Lepisosteus oculatus: one gene and its partners. The protein of the gene in region 1 purifies or fractionates together with the protein of each later gene. This does not show direct contact. Links are inferred from orthologs where the notes say so. Each region holds a gene or a part of one and is shown in the gene's direction. Other genes may lie near its edges.

Region 1 (8,568 bases):
GCCATTTGACAGGATAGTTCGTCAATTGCTGGTGATGGGAACGCCACCTTAATCAAAGCTGGCTGTACAGCTCATTTGAAGAGACGGACGCTGGAAAGGAGTACATTGTCTTCACATTGTCCTACGTTGTATCTTGAAAAAATTGTTTCATGGGGTTAAGAGTAGATATTAAGACCTTTGGAAAATTTCCTCTTATCTTGCAGACAACTGGAGTGCCAAGGCCAAGAGGCGCAATACCACTGGAACAGGACGCATGAGGCATCTGAAGGTTGTGTACCGCAGGTTCAGGTGAGGATTGTTTGCTTTTAAAATGAGAACAAGGGTGACATCAAGCACAGAGTGGTTCCGAAGAAGCATGTTCTGCTAAATTTTTAAGTGGGTCATGTTAATTGTTCAGTAGCTATCAGGAATTTTAACACGAAAATTTAACATGGTAGTTAAATTGTAAATGTAATTCCGTTTGAAGTAGCCTTATAATCTGCACTTTGCTAGATGGTTTAAAACGACAATCATCTGCTGGAGCTGATATTTTAAATACTAAATCTAGCTTTTAAGTCCAGTTTAAAAGAAATACTTCTCACAACCAGTAGTGTTTTCATATTGCTAGCTATGGATAAACTGGAAAAATAGCAGACAGTTACTGTTAATCGAGGCATCTAGGGCTTTGTTGATGGTAAGGCATCTAATTTGCTTATCACTAAATTTCTTAAGTATGAGTTGCAAACTAAACATTTAAGAAGACCTGTGGAGTTGCATAGGTTTCATTTTGTGAGAAATTAATTTGTTTATCTTGCATAACAAGTGATTGTGCTGTAGATAGAAAGTAAGAGCTTGCTGTAGGTTTGTGACATCTGAGAGGTCAAGCTTCTGCTGTCAAGAAAAGAGCAGGATAAGAATGAAACAAATGTAAGTCAGTATACAGAATTGCAGAGCAGCCATTCATTTCCATCACTGATGATTGTTGATCACTGGCCATATTTTAATGCATAGATTTTACTTTTTGGTGGCATCATGTTTTATGCCTTAGTCAATTTAATGTAGGAAATGTAACAATTAGAAGTTGCAAGATTTTATGCATTCACTTAGACTTAAGGGTCAGTTTTAAAGCATGATGGATATGTATGTAGAATCTTGACCCTTTTCCTGTTCTTTTGCCAATCAGATGCAAACTTTTTATGACATGTAGCTAAAAAGCTATAAGTGGTTGAGTAACATTTTACCATTTTTATCGCACTAAACATAGTACTAAACATACTAGTACTCTTTTACGAACATGTTACTGATGACATTTCATGTGCGTATCTGTCCCGTGACTTTTTGTTGCAAAAAAATAACTTAAGACCGCTGCAGTTCTAAACAGCTTATCAATGATGTCCAAAAATAAATGTCTGAACAAATGACTTTACTGTGATTTCAGATTTTTACTGAGGTAAGCTGTAATAGTCTGCATGTGTAATCACATTGGCTTGTTGAGACTTGGCCACAGCTCTTGTCTTTAAGAGAGGTAGGCTACTGGGTTTAAGGCCGGGGACATGCACATTGCTCCGCCTGGTGTCACTTTGTAATGTGACGCGGTTATCTGAGACACTGGAGCAGCATCTTGCTTTACATCTAAGTGGCACTTATGATTTCTTGCAAAGAAATATCTCAAGCACTGCTGGATAATTATCTAAGCTTATAACCCTATATATACATTAAGCCATTATTTCACATCTAGTAATACTTAATTCCCTGTTGTAACTGTTGAAGTTAATACTTAAAAAAAATATACTTTCATGTTAATTCAGCTCTTCCATTATGTTTTGATATTTGCTTCATGATAGTAAAACATCTTCTGTTGGTTAGTTTCTGATTCAGTGTATAGTCATGTTTCTCTTCTAGGAGAATACGTACAGTTGAAGGTTGAAAAAGTAGGTTTTCCTCTAGAAAGGAACTTGATATCTGGATTTTGGTTAAAGTGTTGCTGTACATCTCAAGGAGCAGAGTGCAGCAATACCCTTAGAAGTTACAAAATATGAGGAATAAAGTAAATTAGGTTTTCATCATAAGAGAAAGTCATAGAACACTAAAGGTCTTGAGGATTTTTGCAGTGATGCTAATGTGTGCCAACTTTGTAGTAACATTATGCTGTGCTGTTTTCTTTCAGAAACGGATTCCGCGAGGGAACAACCCCAAAACCTAAAAGAGCTGCAGTAGCAGCTTCCAGCTCCAGTTAGACAGACTGTTTAAAATAAATATGCTGTTTCAAAGTGATTGTGTTGTTTTTTTCTTCTCTGGTTACAAAGAGGAAACTCAATGGGGATTCATGATTATCAGTAAATATTATGAGTAAATTGGGCTATAGATCTTGAAAATCTTGAATTTGTAAATAGCCCTCTTTATGAATATGTCCTTAAGGAGTAGGCAACAATGAATGATTCTCTGATAACGGTTACTATATTGTGCCATGGTGTAGGCAAAAATGACATTGAGATGAGTGTCCAGAAACAAGCTTTACAAGTGTGAGGAATTATTACGACATACAAAGGCATCGATTCGACAATAATTCAGCTTCCCAATCAACAAATTTCAAGTCTATTACTTCTGATTGGATTGATAAAAATGTGCTTTTCTATTAGATGCATTGAAGATTCCTTAAGGAAATAGAGCAGCAGACAAAAATGCAAGAACCCAAGTGCATTTTGTGACGCATTTGGTTTTGGGCCAGATTGAGCCTGTAACTGAGGGAGTATTCAAACTGTTAAGGCAATTGGCTTTTGCAAGATCATCAGTGAAGCATATCCTGGACCACAAAATGAAACGCATCCAAGGTTCAGGCTAGGAGGTACATCATAATTGGTTGTTAAGACTTAATATGAGCTGTTTGGCTGTGATGGTGAATCTGATGACAACATTCTTAAAACTAGGAGTTTCTGGGAACTACTAGCAGTTAAAGCTGGAGGAGGGAAATGTCTTCATGTTTTGTGTAGTTTCTGTTCTTAAAGGAACAAAGACATTTCCTGGACTGGTAATGAGGGTTTTAAAATTTTATTTTAAAGGTCTGACCTCACTAATACTTATAAAATAGTTTCCATCTTTAACCCATTTTTTCTTATGAAAAGCAAAGAAAAATGGGTGAAGGGGAGACAAAAATTTGCTTTCATAGCTTCTGCATGAGCAAAGAATGATCTACCCATACATAAAACACATTTCTGTAAATAATAAATAAGTGTGATTTAATGCTGTATCAGTCTTCACCTACCTGACTATTTTGGCTGCAGGTAGACCTATGAATGTCACACTAGAAGATTGCTAGGGGTTTGGAAATTTTCATTAAGAAGGGGCAGTCCTGAACAGCTCTGCACCAGTTGTTTCTGAAAGTACAAAAAACCCACGGTCATGGAAATCCTGGATACGTTATGGAAAATGACATTTTATTTTCCACGCCTGGAAAGATTTTGAAAAATGATAAGTTTTGGAAAAGTCAAGGATTTTTTTTTAATTGACCCAATATGATCATGGCTGTATCATATAATTTTGTTCACAAGTTATGGAAAAATGACATTTTATTTTCCACGCCTGGAAAGATTTTGAAAAATGATAAGTTTTGGAAAAGTCAAGGATTTATTTTTAATTGACCCAATATGATCATGGCTGTATCATATAATTTTGTTCACAAGTTAGCACACTTTTAAAAAGAGGATGTGGCGTTGCTGTTGCTAACATTATGCATTATAGTGTTGCATCAGACCCTCTCGCAGGATTTTTATAGTTAAAAGTTAAACAATTAAAACCGAAAATATAAAGCCATCTTATTTACAGAAATCGTATATACAGAAATGTTTTTCCACACGGTGGAAATTTTGTCTTTCACTGGAAGAAAGGTGAATTTCAATATTACCTAACTGATCCAAATACAAATATGAGAAAATGTGTTTTCAGTGATCTCTGGTTAGCAGATGAAAAATACAAGCTCCACAAAGATGAAGACCCAGGACGTGCGAGATGTAAATTATGCAGAAAAAAAGTCAATGAAAAGTTTTGGAACTTTGTTGGTAAAAATGAGTGGGAACCCTGATAAAACCACTGTCACACTCTTATAAGGTAGGAGATGCACCCTTAAAGGTGACATCACAGAAAATGCAGAGGGTGGGTTAGCATCAGATCCTGCATGGAGTGCAGCTCGTTGTCATCCGTCACAAAGGCTTAAAGTCTGTAGCTATCACGCCTTGTTAACAGGCCGGGACATATTTCTGAGTTGCCTTTTATTCAAAAACTTGAACACTGTGGCAGTTCAGATACAACATCACCTTTCTCTCTGTACCTTTTCAGTCAGCTCACATGTAGATTTGGTGATTCTGGCCTTCTCTCTCAGGAGATCAGGCTCTTTACAGTACTTACAGTATACCATATACTGTGGTATACAACATACAGTGGTCCAGCGCCATGTCTGTGGAGCTCATTAATTAAACCATCAGACTGCGACAGTCAGCGTTTTCAAATTTCTATTAAAGCTAATTTTTTCACAAAAGCTTCTGATGTGTAATTCAGTCTTATTCTTCCTTTCACTAAATTAATTTGCTGTGCTTTTTCTTTTTCACTTTCTTCTTCTGTTCTAGTTTGTTGTACAGCGCTTTCAGTCCTAATAAGCAGTCAAAATACTGAATTAAAAAATAAGTGTATATATATGTCCCACCTCAATTAAGAAAACGCGCAAAAGATTAAAGATTCACTTCTCATTTATATAAATTCGTACAATTATACTTATATATAAGAAAACAAATATTGTATATATTTGAGTATTGTAATATGAAATGTCTGCTCTGTTCTCAGTGCAGGTGCTCTCAAAACTGTTAAACACCAACGCAAAAGTGTTGCCCAACTTCAAGCCGCTTGAAATTCGAGGGCTATGTAAAAAAATAACACCATTGCCTCTCTTCTTACGTCACTTCCGACGTCGTGCACTTCCGTTTTCCTGTTTATGCAGCGTCATGTCCGTCTGCCTGCAGCAGCGCAGGTAGGGCTTCTGCGGGAAGATGGCGACGGATAAACAGAAGCATGAAGGGAGAGTGAAGATTGGACACTACATTCTTGGGGATACGCTTGGTGTAGGAACCTTTGGAAAAGTTAAAAGTAAGTGTGATGATGTGATGGTCAGGATATCTGGATGGGAAAGGCGGTTAAAACAGGAAGGCAGTAGTCAGCTGTCCTATGTGCACTGAGAAGAGTTGCTGAACAACATTGCATGTTGCAATTTGCAGTATCTGTTGCTGTGCATGTTCACTTCAAACTCCCAGAAGAAAATAGCACCGTTTTCATGTGCATGTTGGCGGAGTTGTGTGTTGATTGATTACTGCTCTTTTTGCCTGTCCTCTAATGAAATGTTAGCTTGCTAAGTGGCTGATGTCTCAGCCTTGTGAAGTCAGTAATGGCTAATTTATGTCATTTTTAGTCGAACGTTCCCAATCGTTAAAACAGTGTCAGTGACAAAACTAAGCTGTGATTTGTAAGCCACGCCACTCCTCAAGTTAAAATTGTTTTTAGTTTTGGCTAGATGCGTAACTTAAATTTAATAAACTTTTGAACCCTTTTAATTTCTGTAGGTGTTTTAGAGGTTGTTAATTTCATGTTATCTTAAAAATAATCAAAATGTGGTGTGAGCAGTTGCGGTAGCATCTTTGTGTCACTCTGTAACGGAAAATATTGATTTCTAATGGAAAATACAGGTGCAGAAGCCGAAGAAGAAGTTTGACATCTAACGCGGTTTTTAATGATTTTTTTTTACAGACGGTGTAGACTGTTATAACCTCTTTAATTTTTGCAGTCGAAATCAAAGTTAAGTATGATTAAACTAGCACTGCATAGGGTATTCACATTAGACTTGATTATAATTCGTGGTTATTTGCAAGTTGATGAAAATTTCAAAGAATACCGTTATAAAGTCTACTTTGGATTCCAGCATTCACTTTTGATGTTAAGTTTTATGCCAAATAATAAGGAGTTGGAATATTGATGGTTCTTGAAATGTTTAAGCGACACGACCATCTCTGGTTCACTAGGTTATTAAAAGTTTAATTGAAAAATATATTAAAGATAATCTTTACTTTTATTAATATAGACAAACTATTAAAGGATAACATTACAGGAGCGTCTAGTTGATATTTACAATCTTGAATTTCCATGAAAGCTTTCAAAAACTACATGAGAGGTCTAAATGAATAAATGTTCTTTGAATGAAGATTTCATATATGACAATGCTAAGGCTAATGAAATAAAAATCAGTCTGGAACTTTCAGTCTTATGCAATGTAAGTTTTCTCAGTTCATTTACTATTAAAACTTAATATAAATAGAATATGAATCACTCTCTTCTGAAAGGTTTATAACCAAGTCTTTGCTTTCTGCAATGGTGGAGAAGTTGCATTTTCTGTTGTTTGTAAACCTCATTTGTGCCAACATTGCATTCTATAAAACCAACTCTCAATTTACATATAACAACTTTTTGAATATTTCAAATGAATATTGTCTGGACTACCAAAAGCGTTTCTAGGTTATGCTGTTACAGTTGGGGTCTATAGACCTGGTTTTTATTTAATGTAAATCTTGATTATGAATTGAGCTGGACATGGGTACATTATTGAGCAAAAAGTCAGTTTTTATGTTCAGTTATTAAATTCTCTATACATGTCCTTGACAGCAAAAGGTTTCTATTTTCAAGTAACTGAGATGGCAAAATGTACTCAGCACTTAAAATTCTTATCTTAGTGAAGGCCTGTGTGTAATGTATGCAGCAAGCATTGAATTGCTCTGCAGTGCTTTGACTTACTACCTGTCCAGTGTAGTTGTCCAGTGAACTGGAACGCTTTGTTGATTCTCTCTTATTTATGTATGACTTTGGGGGCTATATCTAATGTTTCCAAGGCAACCCTGAGCCATTGGCAGTTCCATGGCTACCCTGAGACATTGTTAATCACAACTTTATCTGTTAGTTTCAGTGTTGTGTCTCACGGCTCGTAAAAGGTATATTTTCTTCTAGTTTATGTGTTGAAAACTGTAGTTGCATGTGGAGTTGTTCAAATTGTAGAAACCGAGTCTTTGTCCTGTATTTGTTTCAGTGAAGTCTATTTTTATTTTACCCCAGAGCACAACCCTGCAGAATATTACTTACTTTCAAAATTAGGCTTAAATGTGTGACAGTTAATTTTCAGTGTTTTTTTTACAAATTATTATGACTTAATCATTAAAACTGGTAGATTTGAAAGAATGAAATGAGGCTAGGCTAATGGGTTGTTTTCAGGAAAGATGGCCTTCGGTTTTTCTGCTTGTGTTCTACTGGCAGTTTTTGCATCCTTATGTCATATAGTTTTAGATATTTAAGACCAAGTCTTACTTATATTTATGTTTTTCCTGTACGCTGTTTTGAAGAGGCAACATTACTGTGCGATGTTAGCAGTTATTCTAACAGCAGAAATGGAAGGCCACCCAACATAATCAACAGAGAAGCATTAACTTGTGCTGCTGCTGATGATTTGTGAAAACTGAGGTGCTCTTTAATCCCAAGTAGCCTACTGGCTTTGGTTTAAAAGCAATCGGCCTGAATACTAGAACATTCTCATTACGTAAAACTTTCTCAAGCACTTATATTAAACACGTTAATTAGCATATAACAAGCAACTTAATTATAATTTAGGGTGGGAAACCTAAGTAGAGCTTAGTCATAATGAATATGCACTGTTTCAAAATGTTTTATACTGTATATAGCCTATGTTTTTGGAGAATTACATATTGCATTCCCCTACTCTGCTCACACTATCACTTGAATCCTTATGAATTGTGCGCATTAACCTAAATGATTAATCCAAGGAAGATTTATCATGGTCTTGGGGATTGCATCATCACCTAGTCATTATTAAAAAGTAATCACAATAGGGTTTTTGTATTCCTTTAAAGAATATCTGTTTTGCTTACCAAGGACAGCTGAAAGACTGAAGATAATGCTTCTGACTGTTTTTTATGCTGTAAGTTGTGGTGTACAATGTACTACTACAGTTAGCTTGTGCTACAGCATTAAGATTTACAAAGGGACTTTTAACAAAAGTTTTTGGACAGGATAATTGGTTTCTGGGAAAATTGATATGAGTGTGTGCATCTGTGTCTGGTCTGCGATGGACTGGTGTCCCGTCCAGGGTGGATTTAGGCTCCTTCCTGTTGATTGTGGATGGATCAAAGTGTTAGGCAGTTTAGTGGGGCATTATCCAACAACATGAAAGAGTCCAACACCTTTTTTACCTTTACCTTTTTGAATAGTAATGATCAACCTGACTGCTTTGTAACCTGTACTCAAAGGTTACAGTAGACGTTTTTGTGTTTTGCAATCTCCATGGCTCCATGACAAACCTCTGGACATCTTTGGGTATTGGCCTGTGTATAGTAGGTTGTGTATTAGTTTACTTCCTCATTAGGGTGAAAAACGTGTTTGTTTTTACTTTTTGTCCAGACAGGAAATCTGCTTTGCAGGCAGATAACAGACAATACAAAACACACAATAGATTTAACACAACATTAACCAATTTACTAATAAGAATTGTAC
Region 2 (7,807 bases), on another chromosome or scaffold:
ATAGTAAGGTTAAATTTTGACAACTACTAAAATAATTAATACTATGGTCTCTGAATCATTTTACAAACTTACCATTGCTGGGCTTCAAACACACCCAGTCACCCATATAAGTGCCATTGCTGCAAAAACAAAGGGGGTAAAATACAAGGCCCCCAAGAATAGAATCTTGTCTCAGGTCTGCCACATTTATGTCGCAATGGTGTAACTTTGGTACAGCAGACATGAAACATATTTGAAATATGCGGAATTCAATAAACTAATCTGAAATTAAAAGTAAAGGTTACAGATAACATTTATTGTGGTGTACAATGCTTTATCCTCTTCAATTTCAGGACACAATATAGAACAGGTCTGGAGAGCAGGTTTTTTCTTTATCTTGGGTCTTCTGTTCATGATCCAGATTAATTCTAAAAAACCTAAAAGGGATAACAACAATATGATAAAAGGGAAAACAAACAAGTAATGGCAGTGATCACCTAAGTTGCAGTCTCTGTTGATACTGTATAATTCTTGATTTATTTGTGATTTGGAAAATATGTTGATAAGAATGTTTTATCTGTATCTATTTGTTTTCTAGGTGATCAATTTAACATCCTGAGACTGTAATTCAAATAATATAGTGTCTCTCATTTTCTGGAGATGCAGAGCAATCCACATTTGCCAAAATAATATTTTTGACAAACTGGGAGACATATAGTTCACACTACTTCCATCTTGCTGCTTCGAAAAGATGGACACTTACTGTATGCAAGAAAAAGACGGACACTTGCTGGCATATAAAAGGTCATCTGCAAGAAAACATGCAGAAAGATTATTTTTAAATGTATCAATTTCAACCATGGCAGAGAAACCATGGGCTATAACTGAAAGAAACAAGGCTGGAACATATTTTTCTTCTTCTAGTTGTTGAAGAGTGTTTATGAATAGGGCATCTGGCCATTTACAAATCTTCATTTGCAAATGATAACGAGAAAGATGAATGGTAATTTATTATCCTTGCTGTTGTCCTGAAATGATATGGACCTTTCAAAAAAGTAATATACTCCACTTGTTTCTTCCTCATTAGATCTAAAATTTCCAAATTGCTTGCAAAAATTTTGGAATGATTCTTATTTTTCAATATGGACCAAAATTGACCCTCTTTAGAGATGTATTTTCCTGAATGGCAGACAATGGAGTTCAAATTGTACTGCTGTTGTCCATCACATATCCTATGGTAAACAGTCCATGCAGTGCCTACCGTTGTTCAAAAGACAGTGTCATGCTGCACTCTAGGCAAAAACAGGACAAGTATATCAGGACATGTACTGTATACAACCTCGTGGAAACCTGTACAACTACAAACTGTGTTTTTTTCTGCATTAATACAGTTTCAAATCAAGAGTTAAGTGATGTTGGGAAGTTAGATAACTTAACTCCATGGTTCTCAAACTGGAACGCGTACCACTGGTTGTACGCAGAGCATCCCCAGGTGGTACGCCAGATGTCCCTTGAAATTTGTTGTGTGCACTGAAAAATTGGGACGGGTTTTAATATTTTGTATTTTAATAAAGTAATTAGTTTATGTATCAAATACGCAGTTATGTAGTTATTGTCAGGAACAGTTCTATCCAGGCCCTATGCGGATGACACGATCCAGAAGGTAAAGAAACAATAGGGAAAAATATCATGCAGGAGTGGGTCAGGAGACAGGGGGGCGTGTCCGAGGTGAGCAGGTGTCCAGGGGAAGTGAGTCCGGGCAAACAATCCAAGCATAAATCCAACAGGGAAATCCAAAATGGGAAGCAGAGTCCAACACCAGGGGATCCATCCAAAGTAGTTAAAAAACAGAACCGGGTCGGGACCGGCGGGACAAGGAATCAGGAACAGGAAACTAAAACCATAACGGAGCCAGATGCGGCAGGACCCCGGGCTCTCACGAAACGGGATTCAATGAGAAGCGCCGGGCAAACGCCTGCGTCTGGCTTTAAAGGTGGAACTAAAGAGGGGCCGGAATAAGGATCAGTTGTGGGGAATAGGACAGAACAAGGAAGGGCTGGAGCGCCCTTAAGAGGAGGATCGTGACAGTTATGTGTCAAGTAGTTAGCTACAAAGATGCAGCGTGTGCTAATACTTGAGTGGAACAAGAGATACTATGTAATTCTATACCATTGTATAGGAATGCATGCTACGAACCTAAGTGACCAATTGTATTAAAATAAATTACCTTTAGCAAATAGAAAGGTAGGAGAATGTGCGTGACTTTGGAATAGTGCTAATCTTGTAAGCACAGGAAAGGTTGATAGATAACAGAAAAATATTTAAGGACTGTTCTTTGTCAATTTGAGAAAAGTACACCGAGCATCTCTTGTGTTTCGCTCCATGCGTATGAAATAAAACCTTCTTTTAACTTTTGGGACAGACTCTCCCGTCTTTTAAGAGGAAAAGGGGACAAATTTCTCCAACAGCACCACATTCGCCAACAGAACATTTAATCGAAAATGAATACCTCGCAAAAATCAAGTAATATGTCATGGCTGAAAAGAATAGACGCCAAGAGCTTCAGGAGAACACATCTATCAGCATCTGAATGAATTTATCTAAGAGAATGGCGTCGACTGGAAAAATGCGTCAGAGTTTGTACTAGAGTAATGCAATGTTTGTGCTAGAGCAATTCCAGGTTGACACAGCAGGAGTAGTTGCAATAATTACAGAGGTTGCTCCAGATATGAAGTGGACGCACTGCATCATCCACTGCGAAGCTTTGGCTGTCAGGAAAATGACTGAGGATTTAAAATCTGTGTTAGACTCTACTGTTAAAGTTGTGAATTGTATCAGTGTTCAGTGTGCTTTGTAATGAAATGGGCAGTGAAGTGCTACATACTGAAGTGAGATGGTAATCAAGTGGCAAAGTGCTCAAGAGGCTCTTTGAACTGCACTCTGAGGTACAGTTGTTTTTGCATGACCAGCAATTTCCCTTGGCAAGTCTATTTGATGACCCAATTATGATTATATAATATTATATAATTACATAATATTATATATAAACATATATAAAATTGTAATATAATTTTACCAGCTGTATATTCTCACATTTGAATGAGCTGAATATGGGACGGCAGGGGCTCTCTGTAACAATTTTTGACGTGTCTGACAAGATCACTGCTATGAAGAAAAAGCTGCAGCTTTTTGTTAATAAAATCAATGTAATGTCAAGTTTACAGTTCTCAAATCTTTAGAATTCTCATGCACTGTATATTTTAAACTGTTTCACTAGAAATGTTTATACTTTTTAGTCTGCCTTTTACGTTTGATAGGCATTTATTTACTAAAACACTTACATTTGTTTCCCAAGATAACACAAGTGTCATAAAGAAATTCAGATAATTGCTTTAGGATTGTAGAATTGAGGAAAAGACTGAATATATACAGTCCATGCTTATGACCAGTTTTACCACTTAATTGTTTCCTACACAGTTCACTTGGCTTGTTTCATTAAATGCGCTTTACAGAACATTGCGGTACTGAAATGAATGTCTCTGTCAGAGGCTTTACCATTGAAAATCTACCAGCACCTCTGAAAATAGCAATCTGTGTTTTCAGAGTTAAATACTCACAGGGATGCTTGGAGTAAAACTACAGATATAGATTTTTTTTTTATCTGAACAGGTTTGGTGTTATTGTGAAAACCTTTCTCCTCTTTTAACGTTTTGGACAAATACAGAAATTTCATAATCTAACATTTGCTTCATAGTTCTTTATGAATTTAAAAATCCCCCAATACTGTCCCAAAATGCAGGGCTATAACAAGTAAAATTGTACCGAAGTCTAATCCCTCATTCTGGGAAACAACTTTTAGAGGAAGCTCTACATGAATAAATCCCTTTTGGTACCTGCTGTTTATATTCTGACTGAATAATACATTTTGAGTAGTCATAGGGGTGGATAAAATTTAAAGTTGTAATGGTGTTAATAATATAATAAATATATAATAAATATTTATTTTATTATTTTGCTCTTTAGGGAAAAAATTGCATTTTCACAGCTGCATAATATCATATGTTCCGGAAATACGTTTCTTAGACCGGAAGTTTGAATGTTGCTAGCATAGAGTTACAGTAGCGTGAAGCTCTACTCTCAAAAGGATGGCTAGAAAAATGCGTTCTAACATTACGCCAACTATTTTGTCCCTATTCGGTGCTCGTTGTATTGTTGGTGGTTGTACCAACTTGTGGCTGGGGTGGGTTTGCCAGTGATTTTAACGAAAGTGTCCCATAGATACTGAGGAAATATTGTATGCAGCTTATTGGTATTTTAAATAGTATAACTGTGTGCAATCTGTTTTTTGTTGTATCCCCCACTTGGTTTGGTAAGTTTAATTCTTAAAGTGTTTTTTATTGTTATCGTATGGGTTAGTTACCAGTTTTATTGAACTCTTCACGTGTACAGTATATACACAATGTCTCGGCTTTTATAGTAAGGAAGTCATGTCGATTTAGTTTACGCGGTGATATATACTGCACTTTATGTGTGTGTTTAATTATTTCAAATATTTAACACTCGCGATGTGTCGTGGTGACCTTAGAGTCCTGTTGTGAATGATCTGTGAATTAGGGCTCCGTAATTTTGTGAAAAACGATAACTTTTTAAAAAACAAATAGCAATAAATTAAAAAAAAAACTGCTGTTATTTCAAAGTGTTTAGTTTACCCTAGCACACTGACCAAAAAAGACGAGATGAAAAAACCTGAACGGTAACATGAATGATCAGTAAAAACTATTTCTTTGTAATGTTGAAAATGATTTGGATCGATTGAATATCACTGCAGGAGTGTTTTACATTTAGTGTAGTCTTTCAGATACTATTAAGCTTTTTAGATAGAATCTATATTCAGCACACTGATCTATATGTTGAGCTTTGGCTCGTGTAATACTGTCTCATACATTGACTCATTTACTAAGCTTATATTATTGTTCAATTTAGGTTTATGTGCATCTATAATATCAAAGCTTTAAAATACAGAATCACTGGTAAATTGAGCAAATGCCCTTCAAATATGAAACTTTAATAACTGTTACTTTTCTTAAAGTACAGGTTCCAGTAGTTTTTTTCCACTCGTACAGTTAAGTGTCAGCTGAACATAGCCCTAATGATGAAGATGAAATGCTATTAAACCAAACAATTTTCTTTCTTTCCCAGCGTGTGGATAATTTTGTGTGTATAATGGAAGTTCTGTTTCGGCGATGTCCTGGCAAGCTACGGTACTGCCTGACTCGGACTCTGCCTCAGTCCACGTGGCCCCAACGTGGCTGTGTGTGCCTGTTCCTGAGCATGCAAAGAACCAACATGAGAAATATGACTAGCAGTGCCAGACCTCTGCTGGTATCCAAGCTCTTTCAGCCAGCCAACCTGCGTGAGGAGAGGGACAGAGAACTGGGGCTGGGGCTTGGGGGCCGACAGGGGGAGAGCATGGCCTGTAAGAGCCAGCGTCTCATGCTGCAGTCAGGCTTTATCCACCCATCCAACCCCGGCTGTTACTATCTCCTCCCGGTGACTGTGCGTGCCATGGAGAAGCTGGTGCGGCTGATCGATAGAGAGATGCAGGGCATAGGTGGGCAGAAGCTGGACATGCCCAGTCTTTGTGCAGCTGACCTGTGGAGGCGCAGTGAGCGCTGGGATCTCATGGGCAAAGAGTTGTTCCGGTTGCAGGACAGGCATGGTGCGGAGTATTGTCTGGGGCCCACACATGAGGAGGCCATTACCGAGCTGCTTGCCGCACATGGCACCCTCTCCTACAGGCAGCTCCCCCTGCTGCTCTACCAGGTACAGTCACGGAGTGCTGTTGATTGAGGGGCTAGGGAATCCATATGAATATATAGTCGTGGCTGTATATGTAAGTCATTATTTGCAGTTTGTATGATAGTTTCATTATTTGTATTTGCCTTATGATGCCCTCTTGCTGTTATGCAAGTGGTGCATGAGCCTTGTTAACTTTATATGAAATTGTGACAGAATAGAACCCGTTCTAGTCTGTAGATTCTCAGCTGTGATGTTGATGATGTTCTGTTATGGCCATCATGTGTTGTGACCTCATGCCTATCCCTGCAGGTGACGCGAAAGTTCCGTGATGAGCCAAAGCCGCGGTTTGGGCTGCTGCGTGGGCGGGAGTTCTACATGAAAGACATGTATTCCTTTGATACATGTGAGGAAGCCGCCCACCGCACCTACCAGGCTGTGTGCGAAGCTTACACCCGCCTGTTTGCCCGCTTGGGTCTGCGCTGTGTCAAGGTGCAGGCTGACACAGGTCATATTGGGGGCAAACTTTCGCATGAGTTCCAGATTCCTGCAGAGATTGGCGAAGACAGACTGCTGATCTGTGGCGATTGTGGTTTTTCTGCCAACATGGAGACGATAGATCAAGGACTGAGATACTGCCCAGAGTGCAAAGGGGGCACACTATCAGAGACAAAGGGCATTGAGGTGGGGCATACCTTCTATCTAGGAACTAAGTACTCCTACATCTTTAGTGCCTCCTATAACAACATGCAAAATAAACCTGTAATTGCAGAAATGGGATGCTTTGGGCTGGGGATAACCCGCATCCTGGCTGCATCTATAGAAGTGCTTTCCTCTGAGGACAGCATCCGTTGGCCTGCCTTGCTGGCACCCTACCAGATATGCATCCTTCCACCAAAGAAGGGCAGTAAAGCAGATGAGGCAGGAGAACTGGCACAGAACCTCTTCAAGGTTCTGGTGGAGGCAGTCCCTAGTTTGCGAGGGGAGGTGGTCTTGGATGACCGGACGCACCTGACCATTGGTAGAAGACTGAAAGATGCGAGTAGGTTGGGGTACCCCTATGTGATTGTCACTGGGAAGAGTGCCTTGGAGGATCTGCCAACATTTGAGGTGTGCAGCCAGAACACTGGGGAGACCTTGTTTCTCCCTATAGAAGGTGTGGTAGACTACATTAGAGGTGTGGAAATTGTTTGACACCAGCAAACTGATTGTCCTGCTATAGCTGGTGGTCAGTTATTGGTTATTCCAGAATGAAAATGAATAAAACCTCTGATTTTGTTGTTACATCTCTCTTGCCAAGTCAGAAGGTTCAATGCTCATTCTTTATGACACATCATAGGAGTTGACTGTTTTATTCAGGGGGGATCCAACACAAGTTCTAATTTTATGAACCTGCCAGACAAAGGTAATTTAATGCTTTTGGTTCTGAAATTTATGTTTTGGTCTGTTTTTTCCTGTTTGTTTTATGTTTTGAATGTGGTATTTTACTGTTCCATAGAGGATTTACAATCTTCCTTTCTGCCTTGAAGCCTTAATAAATACTTAAAACAATAAATGTTTTTGAATGTGTTTTGAATTAAATGTTTGCAATGTATCAGAGCTACTGCAGACCAAAGTAAGATACATTTTTATACATTTCATAATGATTTAATCAAAACAGAATATTGTAGCGCATTCGCCAGGTGCTGTGGCTGAAGAGTGCCTGGCTGGGGTACGCAGTGAGGGGTAGTATGGAATTCAATAAAGCGCTGGTTTTCACTCAACAAGTGAACCCGAAAATACTACATAGGTGTCAGAAGCGGGAGGATGGACAGTGAGCAGCTGTTGATGTCGGACTCGGAGAAGCGCCGGTTCCCCCAGCAGCCGAATGACCCCCTAAAGCGCTTTTTGGGGGCGAGCAGCAGCCACCAGGGGCCAGAAAGGCTCCTTAGCGCCACTCGTGGTCACAGCCCTTATAAGGGCTACCCAACGGTGGCTTACTCGGCAGAGGAGGGACCTTTTCCTTTGTCGCCTCAGTCCACGGGGCGGGAAG
Region 3 (7,759 bases), on another chromosome or scaffold:
TAACCCTTTGCTTTTGTAAAATGTCACCAATTAAAAATGAGGTTTAAAGTAGTTTGCATCATGGATTCTCTTTTAAAAATCGCCTTCATCATGACACTCACCTCTAGAGGTAGGAATATATTTGAAGTTGTAGCAGCCACGAAGCCCACTGGATGGCACTGATTCATCATAACTCATTTCATCTGGAGGCACTGAGGGTCCCTGATGTGACCTGTGTTTAAAGTAAGTAACGATGAGCACTGAAGAGAAGAAAACAGGCCCGGCTCTTACCTCACCTGCTACTGCAGGAACAACAGAGCAATGGTAACCAAGTTATAATGTTTTCGTACACTTTATATACAGGAACTGGGCCAAAGCACTGTCGGACCAACAGATTTAGGATCTTTATAGAAAGTCCAGACACCTGGGAGGGGAGAGTTGTGGGTCAGGAAACAGACGAAAGGTTTACACCACCAGCTCCAGCCTCTGAGTGTAGACTCAGACCACTTCAGCCATCTTCAGAGTTTTCCCACTGTGGTTTTGTTTTGACACCTCAGGAAAAAAAGAGTGAATTTTCCGTTACCTTTCTTCCCTGTAGGAAGGAGGCTGGTCCCTTTGAAGTTGCGGCCCTCCGGAGCTGCGGGGATTCCTGTCCTCCCGTCTGTCAGGATAATCCCGGTCTCTCTTTTCCAGGTAGCTAGGATCCCTGTCATCCCAGTACTGCGGGTGTCTCTGGTCTCTGGCGTGCCGGTACCTCTCCCTCTGTCTGTCCATATCACGGCGAGTGCCACTTTCGCTCCTCGTCTTGCTCTGCGGCTCCTCATCTCTTCCAGGATTCCTCCCACCTCCCGGCATCTTATGATCTGTGAGTTCCGTGAATGTACTGTATGCCCTGTGGATCGATGAAGGGGCAGAGAACAGCTCAGAGAGAAAAACAAAAGTAACGCACCACTTATACAGTAGCTGCAACAGTCCCACAGTGGTAGCAGGAAAACGGCAAAATCATTTTCGTGGCAGGTGTGCCAACACTTAAGTGAGCAGCCAAGACACAGGTGAAGGATATCAATGTACCACAGTCAGTCATGACGGATGCTAAATCATAATTACGCCAGAATGCTTTAAGTAATATCCAAAAATACATATTATCCATGTTCTATACTATGTGTTTTTTTTAAAAAAACATGCAGAGAGTGATTTTTATACTCGCATATAAATATTACATAGTGCTGCAGTGCTGTGCAAATACTTTATTAAATGCTGATGCTTTTTAAAACTAACATGCTCATGCTTTGCCAAATTTAACAGGTCTTAGAGCTTAAAGTTAGTTGTGAGCTGCAGGGTAATATAGCCCACTGAAGCTCAGCAGGTACTGGCCAGTACCTGGATTGGACACCTCCGGGGAAAGCTAAGGCTGCTGCTGGAAGAGGGGTTAGTGGGGCCAGTAGGGTGCGCTCACACTGCAGTCTGTGTGGGTCCTAATGCCCCAGTATAGCGATGCTTACACTATACTGTAAAAAAGATGCTGTCCTTCAGATGAAACTTAAAACCAAGCCCCTGCCTCTCTGTGGTTGTTAAACATCCCAGGGAGTTTCTCGAGGAAAGTAGGGGTGTCACCCCCAATAACCTGGCTTAATTTCCCAGCGGCCTTTACCAATCACGGTCTCCTAATAATCCCCATGTTTGAACTGACTTTATCACACTGTTCTCCTCCTCACTGAGAAGTGGAAGTCCCAATTACCTGAAAAGAGCTTTGAGTGGCGTGTCCAGAAAGCGCTATGTAAATATAAGGATACTATTATTAAAGCAGCGTGTAGTTCTACTAGGTGAATACAAAGACTTTAAGCATAGTTCTTCGTAACTAAACGTAATCTACACATTGGACCATAATCATATGTAGTTCGAGTAGATAGCTGCGTCAGCATGCGTAGGATACAAAGAATAAGTAAAGATTTAGTCCATGCTGAAAAGAGATAAAAAGAAACAACGTTTCAAGATGTTGAGCCTCCTACAGGTGTGAAGGGTGACGTTTTCAGCGTGGAATAAACCTTTACTTGTTTCATTGCATAATCATAATATTCTTGTTAAAAGTGTCAAAGTAGGCAAAGAGTTACGCCTGCATCTAATAGGGTTAGTAACGAGTTTCACTGGTTTTGGCCACCATCACCCTGTATGTATATACAATTACTTTGCGATTTTTTATTTTGCGTATTTTATACTGATTTATGAGCACAGCTTACCCTCAGAAGTCAGCAAAAGAAGTTCCAGTGCTCCATCCCGGGCTGTGTTGTACAAATAGCTCCGGTTACCGAAACCCGGTTTGATGCGCCTCTCAGCCGAAACTGGTTGACCGGTCAGTAGTTTCCCAGTAATTCGCTAACCCTCGAAACAGGACTTGAGTTGAGAAATAACTCGTGTATCTTTCAGAGGTCAAATAAAGAAGTTGGAGGTCTTCAGTTCGACCTAAATGGTTTTCGGACTCAAGTTTTCAAGTCAGCATCACAAATACCACAACTTCCGAGTACGCAACATAACAAAGAAAGCGAGGTTTTGTGGTACTTTGTTTTATTTTTCGTCGTGTTGTTGACGAAACATGGACATATCTGCCTCGAGTGACCAGGTTAAATCCATCGACAGTGCACAACTATTGTATTTTGATGTTTCACATCCGCCATTAATTTTCAAGGTACACTTTGTGCGTAGCTCCGACACCACGATCCCACACACACATACACATACACACCTCATACCTGAGCTCACAGCTTGACTTCCCAAACGGAGAACCCCGCCTTTAAAAACTCGTTTTTAACTGGTCGCAGCGCGACTCACTGTTTTAGGAAGTAATTAGTATTTACTTTAAATAGCAAATATTTGATAAGGCAATATAAGAAGTATGTTAATCTACGTTCAATGTTGCAGAAACAGTTTTAATCGCTCTTGCAAATGGCATTATTAAACCTCTAGTTTTCACGATGGATTTCGATTTGATCATATTCGTGAGGTATAACTATAATTTTATGGCTACAGCTAATGAACAATGAATAAAAAACAATGAAAATGTAAACCGATAGGGTGTTCACAATTAAAAAAAAACTCTATAGAAACGTCTCTGTCTCGTCATCAAAACAGAAAATTCGGTTTTGACCACTAAATCGGTGTGGATCCAAACTGCATACATTTCCACAGAAAGAATCTCACAAAACATCAGAAAAAAATGGTCTTTAACCCCGTGATCTGCACAACTCATGAGGAAGCCAAACTGTGTGAACACATCCATTCCAGTTGCTGCTGGGAAAATTGAACTCACTGGTATTTTCAACTGCAGGAGCAGGACGCCTATCATGTAAAGGGGGGAAATCAGTTACTATTGTAGAATTTAAATCAAGTGATGTTACAATTGTACAATTCATTGTACGGTTATTGGTCACATTGCAAAACATTATTGCTGCTCTTGAGTCAGTCCAGAGAATGAAAAAGTCAAGTCTTGAGTAGAGCAGTACCAGATTCAGACATTCAAATTCTTAAAAGATGTTGATAAAGTCAGCCTATTGGACTTTTTCAGAATCGACAGTGAAAAAAAGACAGGATCACAAGTGGGAACTGCTAGGAAGGGTATTTGAAACCGAGGAATGGAGGCACGAATTTACACAAAGGGTTTCCCGTGGCACAATAACAGTTGTGTTGTTAATGCAGATACCCTAGCTTGCTTCAAGAAACGTTTGGATTAAATCTTGGCAGGAATTATCTACTAAAACATCAGCTAGCTTGGACCAGTCCCGCTAGCTTGTGGTCATTTTAGATTTCCTCTGTCATTTTAGGAAGAAATGATTGTTCCTGAATACAAAACATGCAGAGTCATGCATTAAAGACAAGTGTGCCATGTCTCCCCTTTCAATATATTTCCCAAACCGCGAGCGTGTACCCATGTGCTGTAGGTGTAAGGGGCCCTTTCGCCTCCGCTGGCGCTGGGCATGCGCAATGCGGTGCGCGTCCCCGCGTTTCTCCGCCTCCCACCCAGGGCGCACGCGCTCACCGCGGACTCAGTCAGGCTCTCAAGCGCGCGCAAGCCAGAAGCAAGGCGAGACAAAGATGGCGGCCATGGTGGGGTTAGCAGCGTGATGGGCAGGAGGAGGAGAATACAACCTTAACGTTATATACTCTAGATTAAAAAAAAAGAAACTACATTGAAAATGTCGCAGTAGAAATTGATTTGTTTTTAAGTCAAAGACCACATTTCAGCTCATCCCTGGAGAAGAGGAAGTTTATTTTCTTTTTTAATTGTAAAAAAAGAAAAGAAACTCGCCGGGAGCATGGCTTCACACAGCAGCCAGGTAAAAACTGTTCTTCACTCTGGTGTTCCGAGTCGTAGGTACTGCAGCGGGCCTCGGAGACGCCACGGCTCATGCTGGCATGCGTGTGAGTGCTTTGGCTGTTGCAAAGTGCAGCTTTGTCATTGAGAAGTGGGCGAAAAAAAAATTGCAAGGCGAGTTTCCCCGAGCACGGGATGCCTGCTTCCCCCATTGAAACCCCAGCATGGACGAGGCCCAGAGGCAGCCTCACTCATTCATAGACGAGAGCTCCCGAAGAGCGGGTTTAAGTCCTGCGCTCAGAAATCCGACCCGTGCCGCCGTGTCGACCCAGCCCCGGTTGCATCTCAACACGTGGATGTTTGCCCCACTCGGGTGGTTTTGCATTGCATTTCGAGATGGTTTAGCTGGCGTGCTCGGCCCAACCTGCACCGCAACAGGCCTCGGCGAGCTGAGAGCCGCTTTCTTCCGCGGTGTCAAACAGCGCGCTCGGGTAAAAGTCACCCTCGCCGTCAGTGAGTTGTGGTGCACGACCCGTTTTTGTCCTGACTGGGGGTTTCTCCCCCCCTCTGGAGTCGGTTTTTAATTCATTTAAAGTGTGAAACGGTGCATCCGCTGGTGGCATGCATTGGGCCTGTTGATCGGGGAGGGGGGGCGGTCTTGTTTTTCCGTGTTAGGAGACTCATCCAGTGTTGTATGAAGGAGAGCGCAACGGGACTTGCAATGGACATTTTTATAACTCGTTTGTCGCTCTTCAGTGCAAATGCACTTTACTTTGAAAAGGACGCCTGCGTAACGTGTTTGGGCCTGTTCATCATTTAGATTCTCATCGCAGCCTTGCCTCCACTGTTACCCTATGAAGCCGAAATAAATTTGAGGAGTAGCCGTAGATTTTGGGCCCCCTATCTTTTTTTCCCCTAAGGCGCAGAGACTATTCTAGCTGTGCTTTTATATTGTAAGAAAACGACACGAAAATCGGTGATCGGAGAGAAATTTAGAAGCATGCAGGAATAATGTGGAGTGCTGGCTAACTCTGGTGGGAATACCGGATGATAACTATACTCATGGTTTTCCTAGCTTTGGGAGAAGTAGCTGAAAGACCTTTAAGAAGTTTCGGTACCTGCGGTTTCTTAGGTTTGGTGGCGGAGCAGTCGTGGGTTGAAGGGTGAATTTGTGATAGCAGGCGGTCTTGAGAAGTAGAATTGTACCACAAAATGCTGATAGGTCGTAGACAACAAAGTGTAGGCATTTGAGTGTCCAGCGTAAGTTTGAGGAAAGCGTGTTTTTTTGGAATTGCTAGATGCAGGAAGCGGTGTGTACTTAAGCTCTCGGATACTTGCGAGTTTGGCGTGTATAATATAGCATGATTTTGATAGTGCAAGCTATTAATGTATCGTTCTTTCTCTTTCTTTTGCTTAGCTACATCTTCGCGTTTATAGTTTCAACTTGGGCAGCGCGTTACGAGGAGTTGTAACGGGAACATTGAAATTCAGCTGAATCATAGGCGCCCATCCCCCTACCAGGCAGCATTTTTATACTGAGACCACTGTGAGCTGCTCGACGTAGGAACACATTTGCATTGACTTTTTTTCAGTATCACGAGAAACGTACAGGTGGTTTAGTGTTTTTTTTTCTCTCCCGGCTTGAAAGCTGGGCGGTTTGTGCCGCTGAGGTGGTGTGTAGTGCTTTAAAACTTCAGAGTGCGGCTTCCATTCAGGACACTTGACACGTGATGCCGCTCAAGTTGTTGAAACTTACAAAAAGGGATGCATTGCTTTATTGTAAATCGTTTACGGAGGACGTAAAATCTTATTTTTGTTTACTGCAGTTTTAACTTGAGTTTAAATCGGTTGTCCTTAATTAGTATAAACCTAGCATGTTTCGCGTACTTAGTAATTGTGCCCAGACCGGTGGGGTGTTCAGTTTTCAGAGCACAGGGGGAATCCGTATTTAATATCAGTGAAGAGATCATGATGAGGTGTATTTGAAGAAAATGTGTAATACGTTTAAGATGTATAGATTCGGAACTACCAATGCACTTCAGAAAATCTGCATTGTTAAAAGCTTTGTGCATTTTCTGACTTTTCAAGGACACAGTATACCCCCGTGCGTGGATACTGTGGATGTTTCTTTTTAACTAGATGCTTTTGGTCATTTCCTGTACTTGCATCGGTTTGGCTATCAGGACATAAAGGAAAACGCTCTGTACGCTAACTTGATAGATATTATCTGCCTTTCGCTTTGCCAAGTTTAAAACAGCGAACGAGGTTGCCCTACCAGTTTTTGGAAGTTTTACCTCAGCAAAGAAATTTAAATTGTATAAATGCTCGTTTTGTATTCCAGCTTGCCTATGACATTTCTATTTGACTTACCTTTTATTTGCTGTATTTCTTTTTGATGTTAAAGAATGCTTATGGTCTTTAATTGCATGATGGTGTATACAGCATTATGCTACCAGACACCATGACAGTCCATGTGGATTGGGAAGACTTGCCTGGAGTTTAGAGCTTATCGTTGTAGTTCACACTGTCTGTTGTGGATTTGTTGTAGTGGATCGGTATGTTTTTCATTCAACTTTGCTGCTGTTGGCAGAGAGAGTCAAAGACAAAATATAGTAGTGTGCAAAATAGCTCAGTATTAAACTGATCATGGAACAAGTAATAGGTTTATTCCATGCTGAAAAAAAGAAGAAAGAGAACACAACGTTTCGGCCGTGGAGCCTTCTTCAGGTGTGAAGGCTCACACCTGAAGAAGGCTCCACGGCCGAAACGTTGTGTTCTCTTTCTTCTTTTTTTCAGCATGGAATAAACCTATTACTTGTTCCTTTGCAGCCTACGCATGCTGACGCAGCTACCCACCTGAACTTAAACTGATCATGCTATGCAAGGATGAGCCTGTGTTGCAAAAAATGTTTTGGGTTCTTTTTGGTGTTTAGATGACCTTTGTGACTGTGTGAAGCACAGACTAGTTGTGGGTTTGTTGTATATAATGGTCTTTTAGGGGTACCATTCTGAGTGCTGTACAATGACTGCACTTTGTGAATAGAAAAAAAATATTAGCCAGTCTTATGTTTTTCGTGCTATCCTATACAAACAGGTCATCACAAGTCACGTTTGAAATCTTGAACAAAGCATGCTTGTCATAGCAGGTGCTCACAATGTAAGAAAGATAGCTGAGGATTTGGGTCTCTAACCTTGAATGCTTACTTTGGAGATTCCTCAGGTTGGTATGCAGTGATACATTTCTGTTAATGACTTGTGACTCAAGTTGGGGGAGACTAGCGTAGGTGGATGAATCTTAACAGGGCACTTGTAATACAGGATTAATGTCACATGACGTGAGGGGCAGTGGTTTCTTAAGATTAAGGAAGCAGGATCAAAAGACTGAAGCAGAGTTTTAGTAGTGACTTCTGTCCTTGTGAAAGCATTGGATCATGAGAATCGTAAAGGTGTGGTGGTTTCTTCCTGTCTGTAGTG

Evidence for each region. The genes of interacting proteins can lie anywhere in the genome.
Region 2: the proteins of prkaa1 (region 1) and pars2 purify together in Homo sapiens (affinity purification with mass spectrometry; 3 studies listed by BioGRID and IntAct, with this or other methods). This does not show direct contact. The link is inferred for Lepisosteus oculatus from reciprocal best matches to the Homo sapiens genes PRKAA1 and PARS2.
Region 3: the proteins of prkaa1 (region 1) and usp10 purify together in Homo sapiens (affinity purification with western blotting; 3 studies listed by BioGRID). This does not show direct contact. The link is inferred for Lepisosteus oculatus from reciprocal best matches to the Homo sapiens genes PRKAA1 and USP10.

Annotation. Positions count from the first base shown.
Region 1 is NC_090698.1:23,871,695-23,880,262, reverse strand, and holds the start of prkaa1 (5'-AMP-activated protein kinase catalytic subunit alpha-1), read left to right. Parts: upstream 1-4,962; 5' UTR 4,963-5,015; coding exon 5,016-5,112; intron 5,113-8,568. Other genes in the region: rpl37 (large ribosomal subunit protein eL37), read left to right, coding at 204-288, 2,147-2,216. UniProt on the Homo sapiens protein: Catalytic subunit of AMP-activated protein kinase (AMPK), an energy sensor protein kinase that plays a key role in regulating cellular energy metabolism.
Region 2 is NC_090704.1:16,908,791-16,916,597, reverse strand, and holds pars2 (probable proline--tRNA ligase, mitochondrial), read left to right. Parts: upstream 1-4,086; 5' UTR 4,087-4,219; exon of another isoform or gene 4,220-4,348; intron 4,349-5,178; 5' UTR 5,179-5,202; coding exon 5,203-5,802; intron 5,803-6,087; coding exon 6,088-6,969; 3' UTR 6,970-7,330; downstream 7,331-7,807. UniProt on the Homo sapiens protein: Mitochondrial aminoacyl-tRNA synthetase that catalyzes the specific attachment of the proline amino acid (aa) to the homologous transfer RNA (tRNA), further participating in protein synthesis.
Region 3 is NC_090715.1:10,018,276-10,026,034, forward strand, and holds the start of usp10 (ubiquitin carboxyl-terminal hydrolase 10), read left to right. Parts: upstream 1-4,038; 5' UTR 4,039-4,286; coding exon 4,287-4,307; intron 4,308-7,759. Other genes in the region: marveld3 (MARVEL domain-containing protein 3), read right to left, coding at 102-211, 563-834. UniProt on the Homo sapiens protein: Hydrolase that can remove conjugated ubiquitin from target proteins such as p53/TP53, RPS2/us5, RPS3/us3, RPS10/eS10, BECN1, SNX3 and CFTR.